Macaca mulatta: one gene and its partner. The protein of the gene in region 1 purifies or fractionates together with the protein of each later gene. This does not show direct contact. Links are inferred from orthologs where the notes say so. Each region holds a gene or a part of one and is shown on either strand. Other genes may lie near its edges.

Region 1 (3,368 bases):
AATTTTGTTTCCCAATATGTTCCTGGCCCCAGCCCCCCCTTTTTCCTTTTTTTTTTTTTTGAGACAGAGCCTCACTCTGTCACCAGACTGGAGCTCAGTGGCGTGATCTCAACTTGCTGTAACCTCTGCCTCCCCAGTTCAAGCAATTCTTCCACCTTGGTGTCCCGAGTAGCTGGGACTACAGGCACCCACCACCATGCCTCGCTAATTTCTGTATTTTTAGTAGAGAAGGGATTTCACCATGTTGGCCAGGCTGGTTTTGAACTCCTGACCTCAAGTGATCCACCCAGCTCAGCCTCCCAAAGTGCTGGGATTACAGGTGTGAGCCACCAGGCTCGGCTCCCTGGCCCTCTTCTAAGGGCTGCAGATACCTCATCTCACTTAATCCCATCTAGACTGTGTAGATCTCATCATCCATAGGCATGGACAGCACAGAGAGGAAACTGAGGCTCAGAATAACTGGCCACCAATGGGAAGGGGCCAAGCTGTTACACAGCCTGTGCTCACATGGTGTAACCCTGGTAGACACCTCCTCCCTACCCCAACCCTGGGTCAAGGAACCAGGCCAGGACCTAAGCACAGTTGGTGTCCTGTGGACATGAATTTATTAGAGGGGACCAGGACCAGAGTGGGCACAAGCTGCGGGCTGGGAGGAAGGGGCAGGGGTGGGGGCATAGCCAGTGGTGTGTCAGTCAGCGGGCCAGCAGGCGTGCTGTTCTTCACCCTGTAGGGCTTCAGTGCCCAGGGCGTGCCAGAGGCTTTGGGAAGACTGCGGAGAGGAAAGAGTGAGGCTCAGAGAGGAAACCTGCCGAGCTCACACAGGAAGGGCAGCACGTCGATTCCAGGCCCACAGCACTCCCTCTCATACTGTTGGTCCTCACTCCTGCCTCCCAAGCTCCCACACCAGCCCTGCAGCTGCTGTCCCATCCTGCACTCACTGCGGAGGGAGTAGGTGCCTGGTTCCAGTTGCATCTGCGGGGGCAAGACGATGAGAAAGTCCCCACCCCAGGTGTTTTTGACCCTTGAGAGATAATTTTGGGAAGGAGGACGATGACACTCCGAGGTCAGAGAAGGGCACTTGGATGACACAGGCTTAAGCTGGTGGCGGCTGCAGTGCTGGGGCAAGCCACAGGGGGAACAGTGGGGCGGCGAGAGGCCAGGACCCCGGGGAAGGTGAACAGGGACCTGTGGACAGACCCTCTGAACCCCACCATGGTGGGGGCGCCGGTCCCGAGTCCAAGCCCAGTGGAATGGCTCCTTTGCCATGACCTGGGAGGAGCAGAGTGGACAGTAAATGGGGTGGGAACCCCAGCCTTCCCCACACCCCAGGCTGCCTCCACAACCTCACCTCCTCACAGCACTGGCGGCTCACAACAGCCCGGAAACCCATCCGTGCCCAAAGCTTATCCCTCTGGTGCAGGAATTTCCCCACTCGTAAACACCAATCTTTTCCCAAGGCCCATGGAAAAATCTCACATTTGGGCCCCTCCAGGTCCTCCTCCATGTCGTTTGCAAGGTACCTAGCCACAGAGGCACGGGGTCAGGGAGCAGAGGCCACACATCTGCCCCGTCCCATCCGACACCTCCACCAGATAATGCCTCCACTGCCTGCCCCCGCCACTCACAGGGCCAAGAACAGGCTGCTGTGGGTGTACTCGCTGAGCTTCAGGTGGGCGCGCTGGAAGTAGACCAGCACCATGGCCAGGAGATACTGCAGAGACAGATCAGGGTCGGGGGGTTAGTTATCCTCTGAGGAGGAGGGGCTTGCACCCAGGTTCATTTGCACCCAAGGAGGTTGTGCTGCAGGGAAAGAAAGTCAGTAAAATGGTGGGAAGGGGTATGCAAAGATGAACTGGTAAGGGTGGAAGGGGAGTGGCTCTCCCTACCAGACCAGGGCACCCAATAAAGCAGCGGCACTCAATTCCCACCAACTCAACCTGAACCTCAAGAGACCCCCAGCCTGTGCTCTCTCACCTTATCTGAAATCTGGAAGCAGGGGTCTTTGGAGAGGAATTCCTGGACAAAACTGTCCTCTGAGGGTAGAGAAGACAGGACGCAGGTTACCACCGCCTCCATGGAGAAGAGTGGCATCAGAAGCTCCAAAGCCCAAGCCGCCACTGAACCCTCTCTCTCTCTCTCTCTCTTCTTTCTCTCTTTCTTAATGTAAATAGAGATGAGGTCTCACTATGTTGACCAGGCTGGTCTTGAACTCTTGGTCTCAAGTAATCCTCCCATCTCAGCCTCCCAAAGTGTTGGGATTATAGGTATGAGTCACGGCGCCTGGCCCTGAACCCAGTTTCTGAGAGGACTCCCCTCCTACCTGCCTAAGCTGGGTTACCTTGAGAGGGTGAGGGTCAGAGGCCTCAGATGTCTGTACAGGAAGGTGAGACCTCACACTTCACGTCTGCTTTCACACTTGGCCTCACAGTCCCTCCCGTGCCAGCCCTCCAAACTCACCCAGAAGGCTGAGGAAGGCCTGGACCTCCTGGTGCTGGCGAAAACGGAGGAACCCATTGCCCCCACCTTGCCGGCTGCAGCCCCCCAGCTCTACCTGGGTGGTAACTACAGGGGAAGTGGTGGGGTCTTGGCAGTCACTCATCTCATAAGAGATGGAGATGGGGCAGGTTGACCTGTAGAGAAAGGAGGCTCAGGACTTAGCATGTACCCCCATGACGCCCACAAATCAAGAGGGTGGTGACAGGGGCCAGGACGGCGGAGGGGTGGGTGCAGAGACTTGGGGGCTCAGAATAGAAGGCAGTTGGGATGCAAGAGGAGTGGGGAGGTCAGAAAAGAAGCAAAGAGTTGCTATGGGCTGCGGCACCCCCGCCCTCCTCCTGGCACCCCAGGACAGGCCAGAGTAACAGCAGCAACAAGCACGGCTGAGGGCTTCCTAAGTGCCTGGAGCTGTGCTTAAGGGCCTTATCTTATTCCATTCTGGTAAGGAGGTAAGATTAACTCGGACCCATTTTTAAACGAGGAAACTGAAAACCTCACAGCCAGTTAAAAGTGAAGTCTTTGGTCTCCAAAACCCCAAGAGGTTTTTCGGGTTTCGTTTGTTTGTTTGTTTGTGTGTTTTGAGACAGAGTCTCTCTGTCGCCAAGGCTGGAGTGCAGTGGCGCGATGTCGGCTCACTGCAACCTCCGCCTCCCGGGTTCAAGAGATTCTCCAGCCTCAGCCTCCCGAGTAGCTGGGATTACAGGCATGCGCCACCACGCCCGGCTAATTTTTTGTATTTTTTGGTAGAGACGGGGTTTCACCGTGTTGGCCAGGCTGGTCTCACACTCCTGACCTCCCAAAGTGCTGGGATTGCAGGCGTGAGCCACTGCGCCTGGCAAAAAAAGAAAAAAAACCCAGAGCTTAACTGCTCC
Region 2 (3,749 bases), on another chromosome or scaffold:
AAAGAAAAATATATTTATACTTTAAGAAGGTCTCTTTTTATGCCAAACTGAAATCAACACAAATTCCCTGGGAATTTAAGAAACATACTACAAAGCATTAGACATACTAATCACATTATTTTTAATTCAGCAGCAAAATGTGTTTAGTAGAATGGGTATGAGGTATTTAATTTGTTTAAAAATAAAAATAAATACACACACACACCCCTCCAATCGAACACCACACTAACTTGTCATTCCTATTTCACTAAATTCCCTCCAGTATTCCCCCCTTGTTTTTTTACTATTTCTTGTCAAGTGAGGTCTTTGATCACATTAAAAATATAGTTGTGAATTTCCTTCTGGCAGAACCGATATAAACTGGATTCTACTAGCAAATTATTTTGTACCTGGAGAATTGAGAATGTTCTGTTGGAGTCAAGGAACAGGCGAAGGGATATACCCCTCATTTGTGCCATATATAGATCTGATCATTCCTTCAAGTACCACAGAAAGGGAATGATTATATACGTAAGTTATAGTTTTAGAATAGCTTAAACATGTACATATGACAGGTCATTTTTTTCTTACGGTAACTAAATAGAAATTTTATTTAAATTAGATTAAGTCAATTATTGTAACCAGTCTATAAAGGCTGGATAAGAATATTTATCATCCTAAAAATAATTGAAAGAGACTAAAAATAGACTATGAAATTAGCATAATTCTGCATCCCTAACCTCTGCCCCTCAACACATGTGCAAGTCATCAATAGTGTCTTCAAAATACAAGTATTTCTGATACTTCTTTAGTATCAGAAGACTGTAAGACTATGGGGGTGAAGGGATGGGTCATTAGGGATTCAGTAATTTCAATTCTCTTGAAATGTGAACAAATTTGCGTTTATTAAGTAAAGAACATATATTAATGCACACTGGTACTACAAGACATCTTAATGGTTGAATTTTAATAAATATTTACATGTGTTCATATTACAGAAGTTGTAGCATTGTTAAATCATCCCCAAAAATTTATATTACTAAAACCACTCACCTTCTCCAATTTTCTCTATTTTGGTATAATCTTCCATAGTTAGTCAATGGGTATGGCAGATCCTAAAATGAAGGAAAAACTGACTTAATTACATGCCACTAACTTGAGTAGTTTTTAGCATTACACTATATGTAAAGCATTTTCCACTGTGCCTACTGCAGTACATAAGTATTCCATAAATATTAACTACATTCAAACAATATTTACAAGGGTAAGGACTCCTACAATAACTTTCCATCCTTCTGGACTCCTGAGACATTGGAAACGTGTATATTCTATACTAGTGTAGTATTTATTTAGCTTCTTCCAATCAAAATAACCCTCAAATTCAGATATCAACTTGTCTATTCTTTCCAAAGAAAAACCAGAATTATGTTCCCTTGTTGTGACACTAGTATCTGAGTGTGCCAAAGTTATACCCAAATATTTCAACAAATTTATACCGCTTTATGATATTTCTAATTTTATTCAAAACACTATTTTTTATAGTTATAAGGGGAGAACTAAAATGTGTTCAGATTGTTCATTAGGAAAATTTTGTTTAAAGCGGCAAAAACATTTTAAGCGTTTCCAGTTGCCCACGTGACAATTTTAATCTTTTTTTCCTCTGCTTGCAGAGGTCACAAACATGCTCAAGACTTTCAAGGTACTTTTTCCAAGAGTCGGAAATATCACTTAAGCACCCTAAAACAAAAGAATGAAAAGTGCAATTCCACAGATAAAATTCTAATTATAGCCTACACAATGTCAAGGACTAAGCAGAAAAACTGTATACCTGAATCACAATGAATGGGTTTAAAAAAAAAACAAAAAACAACCAGAAGTTCAAGACTTCCTCTGAAGTTTGTCAATGAAACGTCAGAACTCCAGGCATAATTACCTAGATTTTTCTAACACCCATCACTGATGATAAGATCATTTATAAAGCCCGCTCTGAACAGACCTTTAAGTTCTATTTCCCACATTCATCTTCAAAGAAAAAAATCAATCCAGAAAGAAGCAGAGATATATCTTTTTAAATGAAAAAAACTGCACTACACTGCTCATGAGTGTTAAGTGCCTGGGCTGAGTGTTCTTAACAGCTCCAGGTGGGCCGGGGCCGTGGGCAGAGCAAGCCCCAGAAGGCCCACGAGTTCCGGGATCGGTTTCTCAGGGCAGCCTCGCTTTAGGAATCTGCGCCTGTACCTGGCCCAGGTGCGGTCCCGCTTTCCCACCTCCGAGGCGGGATGGGAGGGCGCTCAGGGGCCGGGCCCAGGAAGGAGCCTGCCACTCCGCTGGCGCTCAGTGTGGGGGAGCGGATTTTGCTTCAATCAAGACCCGAAAGCCTCCTAAGGCAGTTCCTAAACAGCCGACCTGAACTCACGACTGCAGCCCCGAACCCCCACCCCCACCCCCACGCCGCCTAACCCCGCCAGGCTGGGCTCCCATAGCCTCCCTCTAAAGCCGGCGCAGTGTGGTTCACACGCCCAGGCCCAGGCAAAGGCCCTGCCCACCCCACCCCGAGGCCCAGCCTGGCTCCGCGCAGGTCCCTGCTCTCCAGTCCGGCCTTCTTAGAGGAGGACCCCGTTCTTCAATACTCGCCCTTCGAGGTCCCCGGGCCATCCGCTAGACACGACCCTGACCCCAGCCACTGTACCCGGCTTATTATCCCGCGGCGGCCGCAGCGGCAGCTACCACAACCGCGTAACTCTCCGCTCAACTTCCAAGAGCCAGCTTTGAAGCCAAGTGCGAGCAGTTTCAAACTCACCGCGCTAAAGGACCCCGGATCCACCAATCGGGTAGAACGTAGACTTTCAAAGCAGCCAATCAGAGCCCAGCTACGCTAGGCTGGCCTTCCCGGGTGTCTAGAGCGCGAAAGAAAGAGGAAAGGGCGGCTAGAGAAAAAGCAGGAGGGCGGGCGCCAACTGAGTGCGAGCGCAAGCGCTCTCCTCCAGCCGGGAGAGTGTCGTCCTACTGTTTCTAGTCAGCGGAGCAGGAAACTACTGTTCGCTCCGTTCTTCTTTTAAATTTTTTCTCTGAGCATTGGCACAGTTCAAAATTATTATCCTCAAAATAGCTCATCAAAAAAGTGATATTGGGTTTACATCGAGATTCCATTACTTTCACTTCTAATACTTAGGGTTAGGAGTGTATAGTTATGTTTTTCTAAATGCGTGATTTGCGGGCTGGCTCCAAGGAGCACCTTTCAGTGACCTTAAGAAGGTAATGGAAAACTTAAAAGACTGTCTCAAAACTGTAAAGGAAGATTTATTATTTATATCGCTGTGCTTTGTTTCTACCTCATTTTTGAATTTAATATTAAATTATTTTATTATTTACATTTTGTGTATTATGCAATTAAAAACATTTGAAATGTAAATTTTAAAATATTTTCACATCAGAATTTTAAATATATAGAGAGAGGCATGTATTTAGAGCCTGGGTTTCATTATGCTATGCATGCTGGCCTCCAACTCCTGGGCTCAAGCAATCAGCCTCAGCCTCCAGCGTAGCTGTGACTACAGGCACCCGCCACCATGACCAGCTTAAATATTATTAAAACACAAAAATTCACAATTCTATGAGGGGAGAAAAAGAGGTTTAAATTATGCTTTAAATAATCCAGTGTCAAAAACTCTGTCTTCATTGCCATCCACAATATCCTTAAGACAGATTTCTGCATTTAATGCAGTTAATTTTTTTCTTGTTCTTTCCTTCTTTCTCTCTTTCTTACTTTT

Evidence for each region. Proteins that work in one complex are often made in the same cells at the same time.
Region 2: the proteins of SPDYC (region 1) and CDK1 purify together in Homo sapiens (co-immunoprecipitation; 3 studies listed by BioGRID and IntAct, with this or other methods). This does not show direct contact. The link is inferred for Macaca mulatta from reciprocal best matches to the Homo sapiens genes SPDYC and CDK1.

Annotation. Positions count from the first base shown.
Region 1 is NC_133419.1:9,206,359-9,209,726, forward strand, and holds the end of SPDYC (speedy protein C), read right to left. Parts: intron 2,631-3,368; 5' UTR 2,600-2,630; coding exon 2,458-2,599; intron 2,034-2,457; coding exon 1,975-2,033; intron 1,712-1,974; coding exon 1,626-1,711; intron 1,521-1,625; coding exon 1,349-1,520; intron 1,270-1,348; coding exon 939-1,269; intron 770-938; coding exon 735-769; 3' UTR 580-734; downstream 1-579. UniProt on the Homo sapiens protein: Promotes progression through the cell cycle via binding and activation of CDK1 and CDK2. Involved in the spindle-assembly checkpoint. Required for recruitment of MAD2L1, BUBR1 and BUB1 to kinetochores.
Region 2 is NC_133414.1:89,039,238-89,042,986, forward strand, and holds the start of CDK1 (cyclin-dependent kinase 1), read right to left. Parts: upstream 2,685-3,749; 5' UTR 2,669-2,684; intron 2,637-2,668; exon of another isoform or gene 2,614-2,636; intron 1,095-2,613; 5' UTR 1,070-1,094; coding exon 1,033-1,069; intron 1-1,032. UniProt on the Homo sapiens protein: Plays a key role in the control of the eukaryotic cell cycle by modulating the centrosome cycle as well as mitotic onset; promotes G2-M transition via association with multiple interphase cyclins.